Macaca mulatta: one gene and its partners. The protein of the gene in region 1 interacts with the protein of each later gene in a pairwise test. Links are inferred from orthologs where the notes say so. Each region holds a gene or a part of one and is shown in the gene's direction. Other genes may lie near its edges. The genes, in order: LDOC1, FAM107A, DPPA4, CTNNBL1, POLL, SMARCD1 and PSMF1.

Evidence for each region.
Region 2: the proteins of LDOC1 (region 1) and FAM107A interact in a two-hybrid assay, tested with the Homo sapiens proteins (2 studies listed by BioGRID and IntAct). The two-hybrid records come from large-scale screens. The link is inferred for Macaca mulatta from reciprocal best matches to the Homo sapiens genes LDOC1 and FAM107A.
Region 3: the proteins of LDOC1 (region 1) and DPPA4 interact in binary tests that used the Homo sapiens proteins (3 or more experiments, as listed by UniProt). The two-hybrid records come from large-scale screens. The link is inferred for Macaca mulatta from reciprocal best matches to the Homo sapiens genes LDOC1 and DPPA4.
Region 4: the proteins of LDOC1 (region 1) and CTNNBL1 interact in binary tests that used the Homo sapiens proteins (3 or more experiments, as listed by UniProt). The two-hybrid records come from large-scale screens. The link is inferred for Macaca mulatta from reciprocal best matches to the Homo sapiens genes LDOC1 and CTNNBL1.
Region 5: the proteins of LDOC1 (region 1) and POLL interact in a two-hybrid assay, tested with the Homo sapiens proteins (2 studies listed by BioGRID and IntAct). The two-hybrid records come from large-scale screens. The link is inferred for Macaca mulatta from reciprocal best matches to the Homo sapiens genes LDOC1 and POLL.
Region 6: the proteins of LDOC1 (region 1) and SMARCD1 interact in binary tests that used the Homo sapiens proteins (3 or more experiments, as listed by UniProt). The two-hybrid records come from large-scale screens. The link is inferred for Macaca mulatta from reciprocal best matches to the Homo sapiens genes LDOC1 and SMARCD1.
Region 7: the proteins of LDOC1 (region 1) and PSMF1 interact in binary tests that used the Homo sapiens proteins (3 or more experiments, as listed by UniProt). The two-hybrid records come from large-scale screens. The link is inferred for Macaca mulatta from reciprocal best matches to the Homo sapiens genes LDOC1 and PSMF1.

The regions. Positions count from the first base shown.
Region 1 is NC_133426.1:147,689,613-147,692,694, forward strand, and holds LDOC1 (protein LDOC1), read left to right. Parts: upstream 1-1,232; 5' UTR 1,233-1,326; coding exon 1,327-1,767; 3' UTR 1,768-2,582; downstream 2,583-3,082. UniProt on the Homo sapiens protein: May have an important role in the development and/or progression of some cancers.
Region 2 is NC_133407.1:122,159,730-122,163,681, reverse strand, and holds the start of FAM107A (actin-associated protein FAM107A), read left to right. Parts: upstream 1-1,152; 5' UTR 1,153-1,325; intron 1,326-3,952. UniProt on the Homo sapiens protein: Stress-inducible actin-binding protein that plays a role in synaptic and cognitive functions by modulating actin filamentous (F-actin) dynamics. Mediates polymerization of globular actin to F-actin. Also binds to, stabilizes and bundles F-actin.
Region 3 is NC_133407.1:174,309,768-174,313,267, forward strand, and holds part of DPPA4 (developmental pluripotency-associated protein 4), read left to right. Parts: intron 1-1,420; coding exon 1,421-1,709; intron 1,710-3,107; coding exon 3,108-3,306; intron 3,307-3,500. UniProt on the Homo sapiens protein: May be involved in the maintenance of active epigenetic status of target genes. May inhibit differentiation of embryonic cells into a primitive ectoderm lineage.
Region 4 is NC_133415.1:90,595,802-90,599,301, forward strand, and holds part of CTNNBL1 (beta-catenin-like protein 1), read left to right. Parts: intron 1-101; coding exon 102-290; intron 291-3,500. UniProt on the Homo sapiens protein: Component of the PRP19-CDC5L complex that forms an integral part of the spliceosome and is required for activating pre-mRNA splicing.
Region 5 is NC_133414.1:113,660,634-113,664,725, reverse strand, and holds the start of POLL (DNA polymerase lambda), read left to right. Parts: upstream 1-1,292; 5' UTR 1,293-1,329; coding exon 1,330-1,444; intron 1,445-1,489; exon of another isoform or gene 1,490-1,568; intron 1,569-2,538; coding exon 2,539-2,833; intron 2,834-3,216; coding exon 3,217-3,379; intron 3,380-3,775; coding exon 3,776-4,092. Other genes in the region: protein DPCD, read right to left, coding at 297-360.
Region 6 is NC_133416.1:57,257,524-57,261,693, forward strand, and holds the start of SMARCD1 (SWI/SNF-related matrix-associated actin-dependent regulator of chromatin subfamily D member 1), read left to right. Parts: upstream 1-1,370; 5' UTR 1,371-1,527; coding exon 1,528-1,704; intron 1,705-2,325; coding exon 2,326-2,513; intron 2,514-2,801; coding exon 2,802-2,844; intron 2,845-2,933; coding exon 2,934-3,056; intron 3,057-3,540; coding exon 3,541-3,663; intron 3,664-4,170. UniProt on the Homo sapiens protein: Involved in transcriptional activation and repression of select genes by chromatin remodeling (alteration of DNA-nucleosome topology).
Region 7 is NC_133415.1:83,002,117-83,005,616, reverse strand, and holds part of PSMF1 (proteasome inhibitor PI31 subunit), read left to right. Parts: intron 1-1,972; coding exon 1,973-2,158; intron 2,159-3,500. UniProt on the Homo sapiens protein: Plays an important role in control of proteasome function. Inhibits the hydrolysis of protein and peptide substrates by the 20S proteasome. Also inhibits the activation of the proteasome by the proteasome regulatory proteins PA700 and PA28.

The DNA.
Region 1 (3,082 bases):
ATTCTCCTGCCTTAGCCTCCTGAGTAGCTGGAACTACAGGCACCTGCCACCACGCCCCGCTAATATTTTGTATTTTTAGTAGAGACAGGGTTTCACCCTGTTAGCCAGGATGATCTCGATCTCCTGACTCGTGATCCGCCCTCCTTGGCCACCCAAAGTGCTAGGATTACAGGAGTGAGCCACCGCGCCCGATTCCTGTGGCTACTCTATGGAGAATATACTATAGGAAGAAAAGAGTGAAAGCTAAGTGATTAGTTGCAGCAGTCTGGGTGAGAAAGGCTGGGGATCAGGGTGGCAGTGGTAGAAATGACAAGTCATGACTGAATTGGCAATATATTTGAAAGCAGAGCCAACAATTCCTGTCGGCTCTAGGGATCCGTTTAAAGTAGAAAAACAAAATTATTTAAAAACACAAACATCTTAACAGTTCATTTTTAAGTACAGAATAAAACCCAGTGGCCAAAGGCACTAATAGCAGGACAAGAAATAGAGAATCAAAGATATGTGGGATGCCTGCAATTGATTATTGGATGCTGATTTTGCAAAACTTCTTTATATCCTGCTACTTAGGTTTGTTTTTTTTTGTTTGTTTGTTTTAAGGGAGTATGCCATATTATTCCCCTACTAAAGAAGTCACTGTTTAAATACTGCCTTTTTCATGAAAGGCAGGAACCCCTGAAGGTCTTCATGATCCTAAAAGGAAGTGTGAGTCCCACAGTGCAGCCAGCAGTGTCAATACTTCTCTGAGTGAGATTTAAACAAGAAAGAAAATGTGTTAATAAAACATCACGCCAAGAGAATCTAGTGGCCACAGACCCACGAAGGAACAACTGAGTTGTGAGAGTTGCCTAGGTAGAAGGGTGGCTAATCCTTTCAGTTTGAACAAATTTGCCTTCTCTGAGACCAAACTCAGCGCTCGCCAGGTCCTCTGCTAACGCAGGCCCCACAACCAGGAGCTAGGGGAGCCTACCCCAGCCTTTAACTGCCCGCCTAGAGACCTACCACAAGCCGGTGGTTCAGCGACCCAATGCATCCTTTTCCTGGCCACGCCCTCTTTGTCTAAACCCTTCCCATCCCGGCCACGCCCCCACGCAGCCGCGGCCGCCAGTCTGGCCACGCCCCTCCCGCGCCGCGCCGGCGCACCATCCGTCCGAATGGCCTCGTGGGCGGAGCTTGCGTAGCCTCCCGGACCCCGGCGCGCACCGCCCCCCGCCCCCAGCCCCTGGCCATCGAGCGTCTCCGTGGACACGCACTTCCTGCGAGGCCTCCGTGCGCACCTTGGCCGAGCCGAACCGAGCCGAGCCCTGTCCTTCCAGGCTGTTCGCAATGGTGGATGAGCTGGTGCTGCTGCTGCACGCGCTCCTGATGCGGCACCGCGCCCTGACCATCGAGAACAGCCAGCTCATGGAACAGCTGCGGCTGCTGGTGTGCGAGAGGGCCAGCCTGCTGCGCCAGGTACGTCCGCCGAGCTGCCCGGTGCCCTTCCCCGAAACGTTTAATGGCGAGAGCTCCCGGCTCCCTGAGTTTATCGTGCAGACAGCGTCTTACATGCTCGTGAACGAGAACCGATTCTGCAACGACGCCATGAAGGTGGCATTCCTAATCAGTCTCCTCACCGGGGAAGCCGAGGAGTGGGTGGTGCCCTACATCGAGATGGATAGCCCCATCCTAGGTGATTACCGAGCCTTCCTCGATGAGATGAAACAGTGCTTTGGCTGGGATGACGACGAAGACGACGACGACGAGGACGAAGAGGATAATTACTAGGCCCTCGGGCCTCGGGGGGAGGGCCCTGCACGCCGTCACCCCCTCCCCGCAGCCCTCACCCCGCCAGGAGCCAGTGCTCTCCCCCTTGCCCTCCGGTCCCCTTCCCTACCCGCGCCCGTCTGCTCTTTCTTCATTTCTCCGTAGTGCTTGTCTTTGTTCCAGGAATAGTGCTCCAGTTACCTGCTGCTGGGGTTGGGGCTGGAGCCTCACTCACTCGGAAGTGCTTGGAAGTGTCATCTACCCTGGCCATCCCGGGGATCCCTCCCCTGCTAATCTGAACTGTGTCCTGAACCCCAGCTATTGGCCAGGCCCCTGTTACAAACTGCGCAGACCACCCATAGCCCTGCTGCTGCCACCTGCCCTGCTGCCAGGCTTACATCTGCCCAGAGAACTATGCTGCCACTTCACATCCACTCACCACATCCCACCTACAGACTACCGCCTTTCGAGATCAGGACCAACCTGGAAAATGCCAGAGTTGGCTCTGCCTCTTCGGACATTGATTTGGACAGCTCACCAACCCCTGAAGAGGCCAGTCATTCAGCCTGGTTAGTTTTCTACCTACTCCGAGTGTCCTCCCCTGCCATACCAGATTGCTGCAGGGGCGCGGTGTGCCTGACAGCCAAATTGTTGATATTTCTTTTTTCCTATGCACTGGTTTTACACAGCTGTCATTTTTCTTTCAAAATTGCAGCAGTCCCACAGATGTATGCATTTGGACAAATAGTACTAAAAACAAAACAAACAAGCACTCAGCCCAGCTCCTCAATACTACCTGGAAAAAGCATTGGCATTATTTTCAATAAATATCAAGCACTAAAAAACGAAATGATTGTCTTTTAATAGTTAAGTGCTATCACTGACCTCTAGAACTGTCACTGTGACTACCGTTATTCCCATGGAAATCAGGGAATACAACCAATCCTAGGAATCCCTGCTGTCAACTCCAGGCTGCTGGGGACAGCTACCTCAGGGCTTTGTCAGGGTTCTGATGCTTCCTTCACCAACGCATTTCTTAAAGCCCTGGCAAAGGGTGTGTTCTCTGGGTCCTCCAGGGTGGCATGGGTAAGGGTTGGCTGAGCAGATGGCAAAGAGGGCAGTATTAATAATTAGACCGTAACAACAGGCATAAACCAGGACATATATATGTATTGCTCCTAATTCTCTGAGCTTTTGGATTCCTTAATATTGTGCCAGGGAAGTTCTGCCCCTTAATCCTTATTGCCTATATGCAGCTGTTGAGTTCAGGCTCCAGAGAGCCAACATAGTACATTGTCACTTTCAAACTCCAAATAGCCAACATGTCACTTACAGG
Region 2 (3,952 bases), on another chromosome or scaffold:
AGGATCTACATACATTTTTTACTTTTCTTGGTTTTTTTGTTTGTTTGTTTGTTTTTCAGGTTCTTTTGAGACAGTCTTGCTCCATCACCCAGGTTGGAGGGCAGTGGCCCAATCTTGGCTCACTGCAAACTCCGCCTCCCAAGTTCAAGCGATTGTCCTGCCTCAGCCTCCCGGGTAGCTGGGATTACAGGTGTGTGCCACCACGCCTGGCTAATTTTTGTATTTTTAGCAGAGACAGGGTTTTACCATGTTGGCTAGGCTGGTCTCAAACTTCTGACCTCAAGTGATCTGCCTGCCTCGGCCTCCCAAAGTGCTGGAATTACAAGTGTAAGCCACCATTCCTGGCCTACTTTTATATTTTACATTCACACGTTCATTCTTTGAGCCACTACTTATGGAACACATATTCTGCCAGGCAAAATGCACCATGCTGGGCTCTGGCCTCAGTTCACATAGAGTCCAGGTCTCTGCTGGAGAAAAGTCCCATATGCTGAGCTTTGACTGTGTGCTTCACTAATGTCATCTCATCCATGTCACCTCCCAACCACCCTGGTATGCTCCACGTTTGACAAACACAGAAACCAAGACACAGAGACACTGAGTGGCTGCTGAAGGGGCTGGTGCTGGAGCCAGGGCCAACACTCGAGCCTGCTGAGACCCAGACACGGTGCTTCCCCTCTCCTACACTCTCCTGTTGGCTCCTCTGTGAAGTGCCCATGGCGTTCGGGGTATCAGGAAAATGTTGTGTACGGAGTTTCTGACCCATTCGTGGATAATCAAGAACTGACCCAATGCTGAGCAGTTTCCCCTCCCTTTACACCCCACCCCTTTCCCCCCAGAGCCATTTTCTCCTGAAGAATCCACACCACTGCCGCAGGAAGCTTGGCTTCCCCTCCCATGGGGAAGTGCTGGAATCCACTCTTGCCTGACCCTCCCATAAAAAACAAGGGAAATTCCTTTACGTGAGCTGCCTTGCTCAGAACAAAGCTTGGCGTGTTTCTTATTCCTCATCAATCTGACAAAATGGGTATTTATTTGTGCCTCTCAAGCGTGTGGCTTGGACATGATGTTCCGCATCGTGGAAGTGGCCGTGTACCAAGTGAAATATCTGTTACTATAGTAACAGTTCCTTTTTATTGATACCAGAATAAACAGGAATGCAAAGGCTGTCTCACTTGTTGGCACATTTCAGCAGCCTCCCGTTCCCAGGGGTTTAAGAACCGCCCTCTAGAGGCAGCCCTCCTTGCTAGTCTGGGACTTCCCAGTGGAGTGAGGAACCCAGCAACACGCTCCTGACTTCCCTTCCCAAGGACTCGACCTGAGAAGTAAGACCATCTCTGTTCTGTTTCCCCCGCTGTCGAGCGCGGTGCTGTTCGGGAGGAGGTGGAAGGGAAGGAGGGCAGACCCTGTGCACTGAAGTGGGCTGTCAGTGGACCTGAGTGCTTTGAGTTTAGGTACCTGGGCTATGTCCCAGCATCTGTAAAATGATACGGGAGATGCCTCCCGGCACCCTGGGTTTCGGAAAAGGGTAGGAGACAAAGAAGTGAGCCCCTAGGCATAGCCCTGCATTCTTGTTGATCTTTTTCTGCTGCATCCTCAGGTGAATCTGAATTAATGCATGATATAGCCTCACCTAAGTCAACTATCACACAGTATGGGGGTTTAATTCTCGGCACAACCGACAGAACACAGGTTTCAGCGTCAGAACTTGGGCTCAGATTCGAGCTCTTTCTTTCACCGGCTGGGTGATTTGGAGAAATCAGATGACTTCCCTGAACTTCAGTTTCCTTGACTGTAAAAAGAGGATAATGACAGTACCCACCTTCTCAGTCTGTCGTAAGAATTTCATATTTCATGAGATACGACTGCTAGGTGCTTAGCACAGTGCATGGCACATAGTGCATGCAGGTTAACGTGTGAAGGGCCTGCCTTTCTGGTGAATTTGGCTTTAGGACTTTGCAATACAAGGCAAGTCTGAGATTGGGCCAGAAATCAAGAGCTGTAGGATTGGGTGTGTCACTTTTTGAAACTGCTACCAAACTCAAGTCACTTCGAGCTTCAAGGCAGCCCCCACACCTGCATCTCTGGGTGACTTAGATCCTAAGTGGCCCTCTTAGTTCTGTTGGTGGTAAGTACCTGCTGGAATTTTCCCTGCAGAGGCATCTGCCAGGTAAAGTGGCTGGCATCATGCCACTAATGAGCCAGCAGGGATTCCAGGTCTGCTGATGCTTGTTCCAGATCAACTGCACAATGCTGTCCACTAACCTTGCTAAGGACCCTCCATGTCTAGCCCTGGACTCTGCTATTTAATTGATTCAAAATCCTAAATGCCCACCCAACATTCTCCCAAGGTAGGAAATTACAACGGACCCAAGGCAAAATGTTCAGGAAGTCAGCCTTGAGTCATTGCATCCAAATGGACAAGCAGCTCTGCTGGGGGCTTCCGAGCATCGACCAGAGGCTGCTGAGAGATCTGGAGGTGGCTCCCAGATACACTGTTCTTTGGCTGCTGGCCAGTGAAATACAATTAGGCACTTTCCCCATGGAGAGGAAAAAAGCCAGAAGGGTCAGGAAATCCAGTGACCATGCTTGTCACTTTTACTGAATGCCTCTTTTTCGTTTGCCAGTCGTTATTTTGAAAGCCTCTCTTCTCCTCTGCCTGCCATCCCATTAAATGCTGAACCAAGAGGGTCCTGAATGTGTTCTGAACTCAGCAGCTTGAACAGTAATAAGGAAGTGGGGGCAGAGGAGGAAAGGCCAACAGCTGGTCCTCTCCTAAACGAGACCAGCCTGAGGCCAGACAGGCCTGTGGATTCTAGCTTAAGCCCAAAGCTGCTGGGGCCAGGCTGGGTCTCCCCAGGGAGAGTCTGTATTTCACATAGGCTATTAGTCCTCAAGTTAGCAGGCCTCCATGTTCTCACCTATAAAATGGGCTCACACAGCCTCTTCATTGGGGTTTCTTGACTATCTAGAGAGAGAAAAGGGACATAACCCTGCTTTGTCAACTAAAAGACATTTTGCACCTTGAAGACAGTGGAGAGATAGAAAGAGCACTGAATTTGGCGTCCAAGGTCCTGGCTTTGCTGCTTACTCTCTGTGTATCTTGAGACAAGTAGCTTGGCCTCTCTGAGCCTTAGTTTTCTCATCTATAAAACGGGGTACCACTGGCTGCCTCTGAGGGTGATTTAGAGATCCAGATCAAATTCGAGAGGTGACCACAGGATTTCTTCAGGACAGAAGTACCATGGTTTGTCTTCGGTGAGTGTCACTCTGCCAGGTGCTGGGCTAAACACATTGTGCCATTGTATCACTTCATCCTCCAAACTGCTCCGTGAATAGGCTACTATCCTTGCTGTATAGAGGGTCAGAGAGGTTAAGCTACTTGTCCAAGGTAACACAGCTGGGAAGGGTTGCCACCATGAATCAAACCCAGTCTGTCTCCACTAAAACATCTGCTTTAACCATTGCTTTACTGGCTCATGTGTCATTTGTTACAACTGATGCCATCAAAGACAGAAATAGGACTACCATAACAGTGGAGAGGCAAGTGGAAGGGTCACTGAGGTCTTAGACAGAATGGGGTATGGCTATTGTCAAGATGAACTGGGCCCTGAGACTCCATCAGTGCAGCTCTCCTTCTGTCTCTCCTTACTCTCTCCTGTGGGTGGGGGCACCAGTGTTTGGTTTCAAATCTGCCACCCTGCATTAGCCATGCATGCCCCAGTGGCCCTGTGCCCTCTCCCTGGGAGCAGCAGAGATCTCCACTGAGCCTTGCCTGGTGTGGGGCCAACGTCCTGTGGAGCCTCTGGCGAGGAGCTCTGGGACCTCTTGAGTCACCAACAAAACCAGGGAGGAATCAAGCAAGGGGCTCCCAATCTTTCCTCGGACCTCTTATTATCCCCACCCCATGAAAAACAACATCAGTCCCATAGTCTGCCTATTGAGAATTATT
Region 3 (3,500 bases), on another chromosome or scaffold:
CAGCCCAGCCTGGCCAACATGGTGAAATCCTGTCTCTACTAAAAATACAAAAATTAGCCAGGTGTGGTGGTGCATGTGTGTAATCCCAGCTATTCAGGAGGCTGAGGCAGTAGAATTGCTTGAAACCAGGAGGCAGAGGTTGCCGTGAGCTGAGATGCACCATTGCACTCCAGCCTGGGCACAAGAGTGAAACGCTGTCTCAAAAATAAAAAGAGGCAGCACTTAAATTTTTTTAATTGACAAAAATTGTATATTTTTATCATGTACAGCACATGGCTTTGAAATACGTATACATTGTGGAATGGCTAACTCAAGCTAATTAATACATACATCACTTTACATACTATATTATTATTATTATTATTATAATTATTGAGACAGAATTTCGCTCCATGCATCCGCTGCCTCCTGGATTCAGATGATTCTCCCGCCTTAGCCTCCCGAGTAGCTGAGATTACAGGTATGCGCCACCACACCTGGCTAATTTGGATTTTTAATAGAGACGGCATTTCTCCATGTTGGTCAGGCTGGTCTCAAACTCCCGACCTCAGGTGATCTGCCCACCTCAGCCTCCCAAAGTGCTGGGATTACAGGCGTGAGCCCCACCGTGCCCAGGTTTTCTTTCTTTCTTTTTTTTTTTTTTTTAAGACAAAGTTTCGCTCTTGTTGCTCAGGCTGGAGTGCAGTGCGCAATCTCAGCTCACTGCAACCTCCACCTCCTGGGTTCAAGCGATTCTCCTGCCTCAGCCTCCAGAGTAGCTGGGATTACAGCACCTGCCACCACGCCTGGCTGATGTTTGTATTTTTAGTAGAGACAGGGTTTCACCATGTTGGCCAGGCTGGTCTAGAACTCCTGACCTCGTGATCCGCTCACCTCGGTCTCCCAAAGTGCTGGGATTACAGGCGTGAGCCACTGTGCCCGGCCAGCAATTTTCTTTCTTTCTTTTTTTTTTAAAGACAGAGTCTCCCTCTGTCACCTAGGCTGGAGTGCAGGCTCACTGCAACTTCCGCCTCCCTGGTTCAAGTGATACCCCAGTCTCAGCCCCCTGAGTAGCTGGGATTGCAGGCATGAACCACCACGCCTGGATAATTTTTGTATTTTTAGTAGAGATGCGGTTTCACCACGTTGGCCAGGGCTGTTCTTGAACTCCTGACCTCAAGTGTTTCACCAACCTTGGCCTCCCAAAGTGCTGGGATTACAGACCTGAGCCATGTGCAGCCAACTGTGCAATTTTCAAGAAGACAGTACATTGTAATTAACTATGTATAGTTACCAAGTTGTACAGTGGATCTCTTGAACCTAGACCTCCTGTCTAAGTGAAACTTTGCATTTGATCAAGAACTTCTTAACTCTGAGGCCATTTATTTTTGTTAGAATTTTAATCTTTATTTTTATCTTTATTATCTAACCCTTTCTGTAGGATTTTCCTAGCACAGCAAAAGAGGCCAAAATCCGGAAATCATTGAAAAAAAAATTAAAGGTGGAAAAAGGGGAAACGTCCCTGCAAAGTTCTGAGACACATCCTCCTGAAGTGGCCCTTCCCCCTGCGGAGGGGCCGCCTGCCCTGGAAGATTCCACTGCTCTCCTTGAGGGAGTTAATACAGTTGTGGTGACAACTTCTGCCCCAGAGGCTTTGCTGGCCTCCTGGGCGAGAATTTCGGCCAGGGCGAGGACGCCAGAGGCAGTGGAATCTCCACAAGAGGCCTGTGGTAAGCCCAACACGAAGAGCTTATTCTGGTCCAGTGGGGAAATAAGCTTAGTAGAGATTAATGCCTGATATATTTTTAGGGTATATCAAAATGCCTTTGAGGGCCGGCGATTCCTGGACCCTGCCCACAGAGTTTCTAATTCAGGTCTAGGACAGGACCTGAGCATTTGCATTTCTTTCTTTTTTTTTTTGAGTCAGAGTTTCGTTCTTGTTGCCCAGGCTAGAGTGCAGTGGTGCGATCTTGGCTCACCACAACCTCAACCTCCCGGGTTCCAGCAATTCGCCTGCTTCAGCCTTCCTGAGTAGCTGGGATTACAGGCAGGCGCAACCATGCCCGGCTAATTTTGTATTTTTAGTAGAGACGGGTTTTCTCCATGTTGGTCAGGCTGGTCTCAAACTCCTGACCTCAGATGATCCGCCTGCCTCGGCCTCCCAGAATGCTGGGATTACAGGTGTGAGCCACTGCACCCAGCGAGAGTTTGCATTTCTCAGTTTTCCGGGCAGCAGTAAGGATGCTGGTCTGGGGACCACAGTTTGAGAACCACTGCTTTAAATGATTGATGGCATCAGAAGAGGATAGCAGTTTGGTTTTCTTTCTTTCCCCTTTAAGCAATTTAAAAGTAAGATCTAAAATTAATTGCCTGCAGCTGAGCCCCAGAATGGCATTAATAAGTTATTTAAAATATTTCCCAGTGTTTTCATTGTAAAATGGGCGATACCTAGCTTATATGTTGTAAGAATTACAGAAAATACAACAAAAGAAGACAATAAACTGTTTAGCACAATCCAATGTGTGTTCAGAGCTGGGGCCCCTGAGCTTGTTTCATGAAGCCCTTTCCAGACACTCTGGGTTAGTCTTTCTACCATCTGCCCACCTACAACTATACTACTTCCAACTAGATTTATTTATTTGTTTGTTTGTTTGTTTATTTGAGACGGAGTCTTGCTCTGTCGCCCAGGCTGTAGTACAGTGGTGTGATCATGGCTCACTGCGAGCTCCGCCTCCCAGGTTCACGCCATTCTCCTGCCTCATTCTCCCAAGTAGCTGGGACTACAGGCGCCCGCCGCCACGCCCGGCTAATTTGTATTTTTAGTAGAGACGGGGTTTCACAGTGTTAGCCAGGATGGTCTCGATATCCTGACCTCATGATCCGCCCGCCTTGGCCTCCCAAACTGCTGGGATTACAGGCATGAGCCACCGTGCCCCGCCTAGATTTTTAAGTTTTAACAGGAACTGTCTTGTATGCTTTTCTAAAGGAGAACAGAATAGAGAAGAGGTTAAGTTAGGATTTCAGGGTTCACGTCTTGGAGTTGGTCAATCAAGGGTGATGGGCCATAATGCAGCCTTACATCGGTATGTCATCCTGGTGTGTGGGTGCCTGTCTCTCTCCTTCGCCAGGTGTCAGGTGGTGTGTGGTCCATGGGAAAAGTCTCCCTGCAGACACAGATGGTTGGGTTCACCTGCAGTTTCATGCTGGTCAAGCCTGGGTTCCAGAAAAGCAAGAAGGGAGAGTGAGTGCACTCTTCTTGCTTCCTGCCTCCAATTTTCCACCCCCGCATCTTGAAGACAATATGTTGTGCCCCAAATGTGTTCACAGGTAATTACCTGATGCTTTTCTACAAACTAAAAGTGGGTGCTGGATTTTCAATTGCAGAAAGTCAAGATACACATTAATCTTATATAGCCATGTATTTCAAGCTCAAATTGTCAGTAAAGAGTTTCAAGAAAATCATTACTCAGTTAAGTTTATCCCCAGGAAACAGAAAGCATTTCTGTGTCAGGGTTTAACGC
Region 4 (3,500 bases), on another chromosome or scaffold:
CCTCCTTGGCCTCCCAAAGTGCTGGGATTATAGGTGTGAGCCACCATGCCCAGCTTCTATGTCATGTCCAGCTCTAAAATCCTATGTTTCTTTTCTCTCAGCCCAATAGGGGCACAAAACGTCCCCGGGATGATGAAGAGGAGGAGCAGAAGATGCGTCGGAAACAAACTGGTACTCGAGAACGTGGCCGCTATCGGGAAGAAGAAATGACTGTGGTGGAAGAAGCGGATGATGACAAAAAAAGGCTGCTTCAGATTATTGACAGAGATGGGGAAGAGGAAGAGGAAGAGGTAACATGGCAGCGATGGGTGGGAGCTGAGATGGCCGGCCCTATAGAATGTAATTTTGGGCCAAATACTCAGCTTGTCTGAGCTTCCCATCTTCATCTGTAAAATGGGGTTAAGAATTCATATTTCATCGCGTTAATGTGAAGGTTAAGTGGGCTAGGGCAGTTGGGAAAGCATCTTGCGAGATGTAAAGAACAAGACAGAGTTTTCGAATTATCCAGGCAGGCTTCCTGGATCTTACTGAGGACACATAGAAGGCACTTGTGTTATTACCTTTGAAAGAGGGATCAAATTTTATCAAGTGGAAGGAAGGGCTTTTTAGGCAGAGAAAATGGTGGTATTAGCAAAGCAACAAAAGTGGAGAAGTTTAAGGGGGTGCCACATTGTTAGATATTTAGATGTGACTGCAAAAGTACAGCTTAGGGAAGGAGACTCCTCAGGGCCTTTCTCTTTGCTGTTGCCCAAGATGCCTTGGGGCTTTTCCACTCATTCCTGCCTCTGGACCTTCGGACCTCTGTGCCCTCTGTTGGAATGCTCTTCTTCCTTGATGCTTTGTATGGCTGGTTTCTTCACATTCAGGTCTCAGTGAGATGTTTCCTCCTCCAAGAAGTCTTTCCTGTGTAGCCCTGCAAGCCGTTCTCTCATTCCCTCATCACTGTGTTCTGTATATTGTCTGCACAGCACGTATCATGATTTGAAATTCTAGTTGTTTATTGTGCTCATTGCTGTCCTCCTCCCAACCTCCCATGAAAACAGAGACTGGCTCTGTTCTGTTCACAGCTCTATCTTTGGTACCCAGAGCAATACCTAGCTCTTGGTGGGCCCTTAATAAATATTTATTGAATGAATAAATGAAGCTGGGAAGAGTGGAGGTAAAATATCAGTGATTAAAAACAAAATGACCTTACCTCTGTGTCTTTTTAAATCTTTAAGTGTTAACTTGTATGTTATTTCACTCTGGCATTTTGTTCAATATGAATTATGGAAATAGAGTCTTAAGAGCCAGCTGTTTTTTGGTTCCCTCAAAGACACGATGCTAAGTTTGGATTTAAAAAATGAGGCTGGCGTGTGAATCTGAGAAGAAGAAAAAATGGATTCATATTCCAAAAAGGTCTTTACTGTGTTGTGACAGTAGCTATTTCCTTATTAGGATTTGTACTAGTGTTAATTTGGGGGTCTGCCCCTAAAAGATGATGGCACTTTAGAAATATGTGGTGGGAGACAGTCCTGAATTTTTGAATTTCCTCTCTGAGGGCAGCAGCCTTGCCAGGGCTTAGGCAAACAGTGTGTGTAGCACATCCTCCCTCCTTTCCCTCCTCACCAGCTTCTGCTCAATCTGTTAGCCCTGCAGCAGCAGTTAATTGGCAGGTATAATTCCCATGTAGGGCAAGGCTGGTACTGGAGGATTAGGATAGTAGCTGTCATGGGTAAGTGGTTTCTAGCCTGGGAGACAGAAATGTAATGTGGGACCAGCCCTTCTGTTAAGGGACAGGGAAAAAGAGATCACTTTGTAAAAATGACACATGGAAGGCTACAAGTCCAGGAGTTATTTTCTCACTGCCACCAAAGTCCCATTTGATGAAAAACAAGTGATGCTTGCCCCTGTAAAGTCACGTGAACTTGTAAAATATTATTGTCCTTTTTGTGCTACATCACCAGCATTCATCTTTCTGAAATCTCCCTCTGGTTTCTGACGTTGAGCTATTGGAGATACTGCTGTGGCTGATGACTAAGACTGATAATTCAGTTTCCCCCAGTGTTGGAGAGAAATTAAAGGAGGGAAGGCCAAACCCTGGAGAGGCTAGGACTTCGGAAATCCCGTGAGAGCTGTGTTAACACTAATGTGGTTTTTCTCCAGAGTGGGGCACGATGTTAGCTAAGAAAAAGAAAAGTAGCAGATATTGAGCTTGCTTGAAAGTGATTTAACTCTTTCCTAGAAATGTTTTGATTATTTTGGTTAAATTCCAGTGAGATGTTGGGTACATTGTGCCTGTTGCTAATAATAACCATAACAGCTTGCATTCATGTAGTTTACAAAGCACTTTTATGTACATATTTTCTTTAGGTCATCTCTATGACCTTGAGAGATACAGGTAACATTTTCATTCCTCCCCTTCCTTCCCCTCCCCTCCCCTGTTCTCCCCTTCTCTCCCCTCCCCTCCTCTCCCCTCCTCTCCCCTCCTCCCTTCCTCCTTTCCTCCCTTCCTCCTTTCCTCCCTTCCTTCTTTCCTTCTTTCCTTCCTCAGATCTTCACGGAGTACCTGCTGTGTGCCAGACACTGGAGAGTCTACTTGTGCCACAGAACAAGTAGACATGGGCTAGCAATGGGGGTCTTTGCCCTGGTTTGGGGTTGGAGAGATTATATGGGCAGATCCTGCCAGATCCTTACATAGATCATGTGAGGGGTTTGGGATTTTATTCTCAGTGTGTGGTGGATGAATTCAGGAAAGATTTAGGAGTTAGAATTAGCTGGACTTGATGAAGCTTTGAGGAATATATTCAGCAAAGTAACATTGTCACATGGCTAGTAAGTAGTGAAATTAGGCTCTGAGTCTTGACTGAGCCAGGACTCTGACTTGTTTTTACCACATCAGGGAACCTCTCTTTAAGCTGTAGACCCTGGGGAGGAGGTAGGGGTTCGATAGAGAACCTTGGGATCTAGGAATCATTGGTGTAATCTAAGAAATGTGTCATGCCGAAAATGAATTTATGGGTAGCTCCCACTTAAAGCCCAATATGTGGAAATAGAAATTTAATAATAGAATAATAGCTAACATTTTTGAGTACTTATAAAATTATGGGATGATTCAGTGCTTTCCAAAAGGATCTATTTCAGGTTCTCTTAATAGCAGTTTCTTTATCGCTTTTAGGCTTGAGTTATGGTCAATGACTACAAAGCTGTGAAGCTTTGAGTTGGGATAGTATTGAGAGAAGCAGGGTGCATTGCAGCACACTAATTTAAACTGGAAGGTAAACTGAAGATAAAATGTGTGAAATTTTAGTGTAGATTTTTTGGAGAAAAAATGATTTAGTTTTCAAATATTCATTTTATTTGCTTTCATAGGTATTATTCCAATGTATGAAGCCAGAAAATTCTGTATGGTCTACTAGCTTTTTTCTGCATTCTCTAGGCAGGGTTACTAAATTCTTGATGCTACTTCAGGATTCAAAGTACCTGTCTGAATTCCTTCTCAGCATCTAGTAAGGACCAGG
Region 5 (4,092 bases), on another chromosome or scaffold:
TCTCAGGACAGTGGTGAGGAGCAAATGAGATAACGAATGTAAAAGAAATTACTATATTAGCAACAGAACTCAGAGCGGGGCGAGATGGTGTAGAGAAATTTAAGGGGTGTCCGGAGACATGTGTTCTGGTCATGTCATCTCTGTGAGCCTTAGTCTCCTCATCCGCAAATGCAGGACCTGGCCCGGCTGACCACCGAGACCCTTCCAGCTCTGCCGACCCAGGCCCTGAGGCCCTTCCCGGAGGGCCGGACCCTGGGGGAAAAAAACGAAGGAGCTCGCGGGGACCCTCGAGTTACCGTCCTGCAGCAGTGCAGTCTTCTGGGCTGTCCGCAGACTCTCCAACCAGCCCGTCACCGCCATCTTTCCTGTGCTAAGCAGCCCGCCCGGCCGCTGCCATGGCAACCGTTCCACTGAAGGTCACTTCCGGCTGACTCGGAAGCTATTCTGGGCATTTGCCCTCCTTCCCCCCTTCGTCCGTTCTCATTGGCTCTCCTGGTAAGTGGCCTACTCCTGCCCACCCTCGGGTGACCAACTTGGCCTGTTGTCGACCGCACCCGGGGACTGACTCTGGCGGTTGGAGAGAGACTCTTGGCGCCGGGGTTGGGCACTCCAACTCTCTACTAGCCCCGAGCTGGGATTCCCTGGCCTGCGCCAGCTGCGTACAGGGCGAGTACACCACACCTGCCTGGGTCTTCACCCCCAGCTGCGAGACTCCTCCATTCCCGGAGGGCTCCCCACACCTGCTGCGGCCGTGCCCCATCTCCCCGCAGCTGCGGCGCTGAGCATCCCCATGTCGAGAGGCTGAGACCAGGGCAGGTGCAGGGCGTTCCCACTCACCCGCGAAAGTCCGCCTCCTCAGGTTTTCCTCTGCAAGTCTGTGTTGGAGGTAGAAAAAGAGTATGTGGAGTTTATGTGCAGGTCCTCCCCAGTCTCCGCTCCATCCCCTAAAGCTCCATTTCCTAGCCCAGCATCCCATTTTGGTAAAGCCCTTCGAAGTGGGCCGCAGCAGGAGGGCTGTGCTGAATCTTTAGAGCAACCCCTTTGAGGAATGGGTATAGTTTCCTACTCCTTAAAAGTACCCCCGATGGCTCCAGCCTTCCCCTCATTTCCCCTAATACTCCAACTTTGAAAGACTGGGGAGTGTGAAGCTAGGCTAAAAAGCTAGTTTAACAGGGTTTGAAGAGATCCCCCCCAACCTCCCGCTTCCCCAAACTGGGCTGCTACCCCCTACCTCCATAGGCAAAGGGGTTGGAGATCCTTAATTCTGTATTTCCACCTGACAGCAGCCCTGACCAACCCTCCAACAGGCTGGGATGCAGCCGTACTTCAATGGATCCCAGGGGTATCTTGAAGGCGTTTCCCAAACGGAAGAAAATTCATGCTGATGCATCATCAAAAGTACTTGCAAAGATTCCCAGGAAGGAAGAGGGAGAAGAAGCAGAAGGTGAGATGACCCACTCTCAGAACCCTCATGCGCTTGAACCCTCAGCCTTCATGTGCTTCAGCCCTATGTTGTTCATGTCCAGAATCAGATATTGGAGCTGACTCTGCCTGTCCATGGACTGCAGGTCTGTTTGTATCTGCCTTGTACTAAGCTTGGTCCTGGGTCTTGGACAGGCCATTTGCTGTGTTATCTTCTTTTCTACCTGAACACCCCTATCAATTGGAAAAGACTCCCTGGACCCTCAGGGAATGACCAGTATAATTTTTGCCCTGGGGGACTGGGACAGAAACCCCCCTCCATTACCCAGGATTGTTGTTAGTTGTTTTGCAGCCAAATTGATAAATAAATAGCAGAGGCTTTGGAGGCAGGGTTGTCGGGTCTGTCAGAGTGTAAGGGCAAGAAATGTGCATTGTTGAAAGAATAAATGATAAAGGATTCAAAGTATGGAGAGAGGCTGGGCGCGGTGGCTCATGCCTGTAATCCCAGCACTTTGGGAGGCCAAGGCAGGCAGATCACCTGTGCTCAGGAGTTCGAGACCAGCCTGGGCAATGTGGCGAAACCCCGTCTCTACCAAAAATACAAAAAATTAGCCAGGCATGGTGGCACATGCCTGTAATCCCAGCTACTTGGGAGGCTGAGGCATGAGAATCGCTTGAGCCCGGGAGATGGAGGTTGCAGTGAGCCAAGATGACGCCACTGTACTCCAGCCTGGGCAACAGAGTGAGACTGTCTCCAAACAAACAAACGAAAAAAACAAAACAAAAACAAAGTAAGAAGGGAGGAGGCATTCATTCAGCAGATATTTACAGGTTACTTACAATGTGCCAGACACTTCTAGGTTGCACCAAGGAACAGGACGTATAAAAATCCTTGTCCCTTACTTTCAAGTACTGGCCTGTGAGAAAATTTGCTGTATATAGAAGGAAACCTGCCTGGATGGAAGACAAATGCTTATTTTCAGGGTAGGGGACTGTGAACATGTCATTCAGATCATGTTAGAAGTTGTATTCAGATCATGTTAGAAGTTGTGGCCAGGGGGTGGCAGATAAAATTAAAAAGTTATGACAGTAGTCATCTGGATGTTCCTTCCCCAGAGTGGCTGAGCTCCCTTCGGGCCCATGTTGTGCGCACTGGCATTGGACGAGCCCGGGCAGAACTCTTTGAGAAGCAGATTGTTCAGCATGGTGGCCAGTTATGCCCTGTCCAGGGCCCAGGTGTCACTCACATTGTGGTGGATGAAGGCATGGACTATGAGCGAGCCCTCCGCCTTCTCAGACTACCCCGGCTGCCCCCGGGTGCTCAGCTGGTGAAGTCAGCCTGGCTGAGCTTGTGCCTTCAGGAGAGGAGGCTGGTGGATGTAGCTGGATTCAGCATCTTCATCCCCAGTAGGTGGGCTGATCCCAGTCTTTTTTTCCAATGTTTTCTAGTAGCATCTTGAGCTCTCTTCTTGAATTATTAAAAATAACTGTCATTAATTTAAAAATTAGCCAGGCATGGTGGTATATGCCTGTAGTCCCAGCTATAAGAGGGTTAGGTGGGAGGATTGATTGAGCCAGGGAGGCTGAGGCTGCAGTGAGCCTTGATCATACCACTGTACTCCAGCCTGGGTGATAGAGCAAGACCCTATCTCAAGAGAAACTCCAAAAACCTCAAAAAACTCATTTTCTTAATTGGACACACTGGGAAACCAAGTATTTCAGAATACATTAGGACTGGGGACAGAAACAGGGTGAGACCTTTGGTGTCTTAACCTCCCATCACCATCCCCACAGGTACTTGGACCAGTCACAGCCCAGCAAGGCAGAGCAGGATGCTTCTCTTCCTCCTGGCACCCATGAGGCCCTGCTTCAGACAGCGCTTCCTCCTCCTCCTTCTCCCACCAGGCCTGTGTCTCCTCCCCAAAAGACAAAAGAGGCACCAAACACCCAAGCCCAGGTCAGGAGCCTTCCATCCCTCAGAGCTCCCTTCCCCTAGGAAGCAGATCACAGAAATGGGGAGGGCCTGATGACTGTTCAGAAAGTCCCAGTCCCCGGAGAGAGGAGGACCCCATTGTGAAGCCATATATCTCTTCCCAACACTCATCACTCCTGCATTCATCTAGGCCGTATCTAACACATACCACTGGGGATCCTAGGGGTAGGCACTGCGGTGAGCCAAAGGGAATGTGGCCCCACACCCGAGGTGATCCAAGTCTGATGCAGAAGGCCCCACCTCATTCTTAGGTCTGACTAGAAGACCCTCCCCCTGCACAAAGAAGATGACCCCCACCTTTAAGGATCCCTTCTCCTGGAGGACAAGAATTTATTGTTTTCTTTTCTTCTCTACCCCAAGCCCATCTCTGATGATGAAGCCAGCGATGGGGAAGAAACCCAGGTTAGCGCAGCTGATCTGGAAGCCCTCATCAGTGGCCACTACCCCGCCTCCCTTGAGGGAGATTGTGATCCTAGCCCAGCCCCTGTGGTCCTGGATAAGTGGGTCTGTGCACAGCCCTCAAGCCAGAAGGCGACCAACCACAACCTCCATATCACAGAGAAGCTGGAAGTTCTGGCCAAAGCCTACAGTGTTCAGGGAGACAAGTGGAGGGCCCTGGGCTATGCCAAGGCCATCAATGCTCTCAAGAGCTTCCATAAGCCTGTCACCTCGTACCA
Region 6 (4,170 bases), on another chromosome or scaffold:
AGGGAAGCAGGAATGAGGCCAAAAAGTGTGCATTGGATAGGGGAACAGCAGGCAGGGCTTTGGGTGACGCATGCCTCTGGTCTAATAAACTGGGTTTCAACCATCTCCTCTTCAGTGTTGTTCACTTATTTGAAAACATATTTAGGTATTCTCACTAAGTGCCTAGAGCTGAGCTTGGTTTTGGGGCCAAACAATTAGGGGATGAGTAAGGAGAAGGTTTGAGTAGGGAGACTGTGGTCCTCCTGGGATGGGACGGCTGACCATCGTATCAGGAATAGTTTGAACCACTGGGCAGGGAAAGAGGGAGGAGTCAAAGGCAACAAAGGTCCAAAACAGAATCCCCATCACAAACAATGCTTTAGAGAGAGAGCAGAGTCAAAATTCAAGATAAACTGGAACTTATTATAAAATCTGAAAGCAGGCTGGCACGGTGGCTCACGCCTGTAATCCCAACACTTTGGGAGGCTGAGACGGGCGGATCACTTGAGGCCAGGAGTTCGAGACCAGCCTACGCAACATAATGAAACCCCCATCCCTATTTTTTAATATTAAAAAAAAATCTGAGGCCAGGCACAATGGCTCACACCTGTAATCCCAGCATTTTGGGAGGCTGAGGCGCGCAGACCACTTGAGCTTAGGAGTTTGAAACCAACATGGGCAACATGGTGAAACCCTGTCTCTACCAAAAATACAAAACAGCCTGGCATGGTGGTGCATGCCTGTGATCCCAGCTACTCGGGAGGCTGAGGTGGGAGGATCACTTGAGCCTGGGAGGCGGAGGTTGCAGTGAGCTGAGATGGTGCCACTGTGACAAAGAGAGACCTCATGTCGAAAAAATAATAATAATAATAATCCGGAAGCAGGTTAGGTCGGAGACAAAGTTAGGTTGAAGTTCCCACGTGAGGTAGTTATTGAGGCACTTTATCTGTGGAATGAGTCCTGGGCTATGAGCAAGAAGACCTGGAATCTTGGCTTCGGCTTTATGACTAACTTGCTGGTTGACCTTTGCCAAGTCGTTCACCTGTGAGTTCAGCTTTCCTATTTGGAAAATGGAATAAACTGTGTTTCCCTCCTCAGCCCCTGATAGTTATAGCAGTAAGAAAATGAAACGAAAAGCAATCAAAGCGTTTTGGGAAGTTAATGCCATGCGCCAAGATGAAGCTATTACTCCAAGCACCTCATCATCAGCGGGCTGGAGTCGGGGTTGAGACTGGGGCTGAGGCTGTGGTCCGTCCCCCTTTCCAGGTCCTTGTCTACCTCCCGTCGGCCTGGGGGCGCCCGCTCACGGGGCCTCTCTATCCCAGAGTTCTTCTCTATGGTTTTCCCTCCAGGACCGTGAAGGCGGGAGGGCGTGGCCAGCACGCCTTTTCCGCTACTCGCTCCTCTCTAGGCGACAGTCTCGCTGCCCTGAGCCTCCCGTGCCGGCCAGCCGGCCGGGGGAACAGGCGGGCGCTCGGGGGGCGCTCAGGGGGCGGGGGGAGTTCCGGTTCCGGTTCTTTGTGCAGCTGCATCGGCGGCTCCGGGAAGATGGCGGCCCGGGCGGGTTTCCAGTCTGTGGCTCCGAGCGGCGGCGCCGGAGCCTCGGGAGGGGCGGGCGCGGCTGCTGCCCTGGGCCCGGGCGGAACTCCGGGGCCTCCCGTGCGAATGGGCCCGGCTCCGGGTCAAGGGCTGTACCGCTCCCCGATGCCCGGAGCGGCCTATCCGGTGAGTGGGGCAGGAGGAGGGACGCGCGGGCCGGGGGCGGGGCCGAGCGGGGACGTGGGAGTGACAGGGGTGGGGGGAGAAGTAGGAGGGACTCCCTTGGGAGGGGTTCGGGCTCTGGGTGGGGGTTGGGGGAGGCAGTGCGCAGGAAGAGAGGGGGAGGCAGTTGGCGTCCACACCTGCTCCTAGGGGCATTGTTTCCGTGGGGAGTCGGTAGAGAACCAGGGTGGGTGAAGTGGGTCCAGGGATACCTGTACGAGGGCCGGAGTGCAGAGGGGCTTGAGCAGCTCCATTGATCAAAGGAACACAGAACGTGTAGTTGACAAATTGAGGTCAGCTTCTAAAGAGATAGTAGCTAGCAGAGTAAATGTGGAACTGGCGATGTCCGATGTGTCCGATCCAAAATAGACCGATAATTTGAGTATAATCTGGCTCTCGCTTAGCTTTTGGACTCTTTATTTTTCTGTGGAGTCACTGCTGGAGCAGAGGGTTCTCGTCTCATTGTCCTCCATTCCATCCGTAAACCTTACTTCATTCAAAGAACTCAGGCGTTCCCTGCTTTTCTTTCTTGGTGGGGTTTAGCAGGTGAAACCATGACATCTCTGGGTCCTCTCCCCTCTGTAGAGACCAGGTATGTTGCCAGGCAGCCGAATGACACCTCAGGGACCTTCCATGGGACCCCCTGGCTATGGGGGGAACCCTTCAGTCCGACCTGGCCTGGCCCAGTCAGGGATGGATCAGTCCCGCAAGAGACCTGCCCCTCAGCAGATCCAGCAGGTCCAGCAGCAGGCTGTCCAAAATCGAAACCACAAGTAAGATGATCCTGGGGCAGAGGGAGGGAGGGAGGGAGCCTGGGAGTACACAGGTGGTGGGATTACCTGAACCAAGAAGTGGTGGTGCTGTGTCAGCAGATGGTGCTACAGGATGATTGAGAATGCTTGGTGGTGGTGGTGGTGGTGGTGGTGGTGGTGGTGGTAGTTCTTTGATTTGAGAGAAGCTTTGCAATCCCTTCACATTACTATAAATGGACATGCTGACAGCTTATTTTCACGTTCTGACTAGTTCTGTCCCAACCTGATAATAGTGTTTATTCCCAACAGTGCAAAGAAAAAGAAGATGGCTGACAAAATTCTACCTCAAAGGGTGAGTCCAGGCTGTTTTCTGGAAAGTGTGGTAGGTTTGAGTATAGAGATGAATCATCCTAGATTTCAATTAATTTTTCTGTTCCTAAGATTCGTGAACTGGTACCAGAATCCCAGGCCTATATGGATCTCTTGGCTTTTGAAAGGAAACTGGACCAGACTATCATGAGGAAACGACTAGATATCCAAGAGGCCTTGAAACGTCCCATCAAGGTAACACAGGAAGTTACTAAGCAGAGAGCCAAAGGAGAGGACCCAGGAACCTTCAGCAGGCTTAGGATGAGAAATCAAAGGCACAGCACAACTCTCCTTGGCATTTAAATTGTATCTTTCCCTTCCGCCTACAAACTGAGAATTACATTAGGAGGATAAGAACAGAATGGCAAAGGGGGAGGGGCTCTTGATGTCTCTTGCACTACAAATATACCCTTGTCCATGTTTTTGCTGTAACTGCTCTGCTACCTTGGGAACCTGGCACCTTGCATGACTTTGTCCACCTGGCATCCCACTGTATGCACTTGTACTTAGGCTGATGGCCAGTACTCCTCTTCTAAATGGAATCTTCATCCACCCACCCAAGGGACTGGGTAGACAGTAAGCCAGTCTGTTAGGAATAATTTTGGGGTTTGGGGAGACTCTTGTCTTCAACATTAGACCACTGAAGCCCCACGATCAATCCTGTTTCTGCCTTCCTCAGCAAAAACGGAAGCTGCGAATTTTCATTTCTAACACTTTCAATCCGGCTAAGTCAGATGCCGAGGATGGGGAAGGGACGGTGGCTTCCTGGGAGCTTCGGGTAGAAGGACGGCTCCTGGAGGATGTGAGTTCAAGGTCCACAGTGGTTGGCATCTAGGGTGGGAGCTGCTGGGAATGAACAGTGTTGTCTGGTCAGCAGGAAGCCTAACTGGTGCTCACAGCTCCTTTTGGGAGCAGTAGGGAGAGGGACACTGTTCCCTGCACTGAAAGACAATGGTCCTTTGTGTTTGCCCCCACACCTTTGGCCTTCACTGGTATCATATGGAGAACCTTATTGTCCTGGGATCTGATTTGTGATTTACCTTCCTCTTGGTGCTGCTGGCCATTGGATTTAGCCGTATCTGTAGATTATTTAGTTTTTGTTTTGTTTTGTTTTTAGTCGAGTTTGCACTTAATTTGAGGCCGTGTTTCCTCTCTGAGTTCTTGTGGTATCTCCATCTTCTCAACTTTCATTGGAGGCACCCCATAGTTTTAAGTAGGATAGATTTCTCTTGACAGGCTCTTTGTTGCTTCCTGGGGAGCATCAGCTGACAGGTGATAGCCCCCAAACTTCCCAACCCAGAAGCTCCTC
Region 7 (3,500 bases), on another chromosome or scaffold:
CCTCACAAAGTGCTGGGATTGCAGACGTGAACCACCGCCTTGTTCCCAATCTTAGGGGCAAAGCAGTCTTTCACAGTAAAGTCTATTGTTATGGGTAGGTTTTTTGTAAATGTTCTTTATCAGATTAAAGAAGTTCCCCTTTATTCTTAGTTTGTTGAGAGTTTTTAATCTTGAATGGATTTATCATGTTGGATTTTGTCAAAAGCTTTTTTCTGTATCAATTGATATGATCATATCATTTTTCTTCCATAGCTTATTGATATGGTACATTACATTGATTGATTTGTGACTACTAACCAGTCTTGCATACCTAGAACAAGTCATACTTGGTCATGGTATATAATTCTTTTTATACATTTTTAAATTCAATTTGCTCTTATTTTATTGAGGATGTTTTTTTATGTGTGTAAGTTCATAGGATATAATAGTCTGTATTTATTTATTTATTTTTTGTATGGTCTTTGCCTGGTTTTGATACCAGAGTAATACTGGTCCCATGAAAGGGGTTGGAAAGTATTCCCTCCTCGTATATTTTCTAGAAGTGATGGTAAAATTGATGTTAATTCTTCTTTAAATGTTTGATAGAATTCTCCCTGAAACAATCTGAGGCTGGAGATTTTTTTTTGTTTTTAGAATGTTAAGTGTAATTCATTTTCTTTAATGAAACTATTCAGATTATCTGTTTCATTTTGGCTGAGTTGTAGTTTATGGTTTTTAAGAATTGGTCTATTATGAATTGTTGGATTAAGTTGTTCTTAGTATTCTCTTATTATCCTTTCAGTGGCTACAGATCTATTGTAATATCTCCTGTTTCATTCTTGTTACTGGTGACTTATGTCCTCTCTCTTTTTATATTTGTCAGTCTTGCTAGAAGTTGGTCAATTGTATTCATTTTTTTTTTTAAGAATTGACTTTTTGTTTCATTTTCTCTATTGTTTTTCTTTTTTATTGACTTATGTTCTTACCTTTATTACTTCTGCTTGCCTTGGGTTAATTTGCTCTTCTTTTTCTAGGTTCTTTAGGTCAGAATTTTGGTTATTGATTTGAGTTCCTTCCTCTTTCTTGATGTAAGCATTTAGTGCTATGAGGTTTCTTCTCAGCAATCCTTTAGTTATATCCTGCGTATTTTCCTATGTTTTTATTTTCATTTTAATTCAGTGCTATATATTTCTTTTTTGGGACTTTGATCCAAGGATTTTCTAGAAGTATGTTGCTTAATTTTCATGTACTTAGAGAGTTAACTTTTTGTTTTGATTTCTGTTGTGCTTCCATATGGTTGGAGTACATACTTTGTATGGTTTCAGTTATTTTACATTTGTGAGCTTTGCCTTATGGGCAGGATGTGGTTCATTTTAAAATACCAGTGTTTTAGGAAGCCTGGAGTCCTACCCATTCTGTTACCTCAGCCTGCCTCCACACCTCAGCTGTGGCTCACGTCACTTGTCTCTCACAGGCAAAGAAAAAGAGGCCCAGGCAGGATGGGATAGGTGTTAGGGGCAGCCTTCCGAGGACTCCTGAGTTAGTGACAGAACTGGACCTTGAGCCCCCAGAGCTCTGCCTGCCTGGACCAGGAACCTAATTCATCCTCCCCGTGGAGCCTTTGCCTTCCATGACCCTTCCCATGACACATGATGAACACACAATGAAGCTGAGGGAGGGGTGAGGTGGGTGAGAACAGAGGAGTAGCCAGTCCAGGCTCGGTGCCCCTACACCCTCACCTCTTTCTAATGGGGTGGTAACGAGGAGGGGCAACTCAGATGCCTAAGAAGCTTAGGCCCAAATCTCAGAGACAGCGTGGGGCTGTTGCCCCCCTCACCCAGGTCCACCAGGCGGCCTGTTCCCCCACTTATAAACAGGCCAAGCGCAACGCCAGGAGCTCTCAGGGCCGCCGCTGCCATCGTTGCGGCCAGAATACCGCTTCCAGGGTTCCTAGCCAACTGCAAGCAGTTGACTCTTCGTCTGCTTCCTGCAGGACCTACAAGAACAGTGAGGAGCTTCGGTCTCGTATTGTGTCTGGAATCATCACACCTATCCATGAGCAGTGGGAGAAGGCTAGTGTAAGCAGTCCCCACCGGGAGTTCCCCCCTGCTACCGCTAGAGAGGTGGACCCACTCCGGATTCCTCCACACCATCCACACACCAGCCGGCAGCCTCCCTGGTGAGTACAGAGCGTCCAGCGGGAAGCCCATGCTTCTGCAGCGGGATTCCAGCCAGCTATCCCCATCCTGCCACTTGACCCCATCCCTGGCCCGTGTGTGTTTTCAACAAAATGATCAATGTCTTGGGGTTCAATGGAATTAGAAAGTGGAGACGTAAGTGGAGCAGTGAGTTCTTGAACTGCTACTAGTCACCCTAATTACCCCACATCTTAAGCCTGCCTTACTTCTTTCTAGAGGCCACACAGAGCCCCTGAGTCTATCCAAGGATCAGTGCCTCTGGGGCTTATGTGCAGTAGTCCAGGGTTGCTGCCCAGGTAATTCACAGCTAATTCATCCCAGAGCTCTTTGTCTAGACAGGGCCCTGGGCCAGTCTTTTTGAGAAAATGCAAAGATGCAGAGGTACTAACCCAGAGGAGATGCAGTCCCAATGTCTTGCCCATTTCATTTCTTTTCACTGTAGTCCCCCAACCTCGCTATCAACTTCAGAAGTTTTCCAAAATAGCATGGGGTGTGAGTGAGTCACATTCCAAGGTTTTTGCAGATTAGGATGGCAGCGTTAGGACTGGAGACTTCTGCTCAGAGGGAGGAGACAAGGACCATGAGACCCCAGCCTCCAGCTGAGATACCACTTCTCAGTTTGGAGCCCATACTGTGATATCATACTGTTGGTGGGGATGAGGGACAGAGTTCACTGTGAGGGACATAAATAAGCACTTAATAAATGTAGACTACCATTGTTATTTTATTCTGGTTCATAATTATATGCCTTTAGTTAGCTAAAAATGGGAAATCAGTTAAATTATTACAAGTAATGATTGGCATATCTCTTTGGCAAAGTCTTTACCAAAAATATTGAGTCCTGTGAAGACAATGGAGAATTAGAAAAAGTGGTTGAAAAGATTGAAAATGACTTGTCTGATATATCTTATTTTACCAAAGGGAATAGAGATAAGATGACCTGCCTGAGTTCACCAGCCACCAATAAAGAGGTAGAGCCAGGGCTGGGGTCTAGGTATCCTTACTCCCTGCACAGTGCTCTGCCTGTGATGTAAACAGATGTGATCTAACCACCTTTCCATGCTGGAAAGATTTAAGAATAAGCCCTGGTCAGAAGTCAGGTTGGGAAAAAATTTTAGACCTGAAGTAAATAGTAATTCTCAGCTTTATTAGACCCAATGCCCATTTCAAAACAAATATTCTGTGAAATAGCTCTTACTATATTGAAATGGAATTCATAGGTATTCTAACTTACCTCATCCACATTTCAGAGGAAATCAGTATAAAGTCCTAACTATAATATAAATTAGAAAAAGAGAGTAATTAATAAGATGATGATGTATA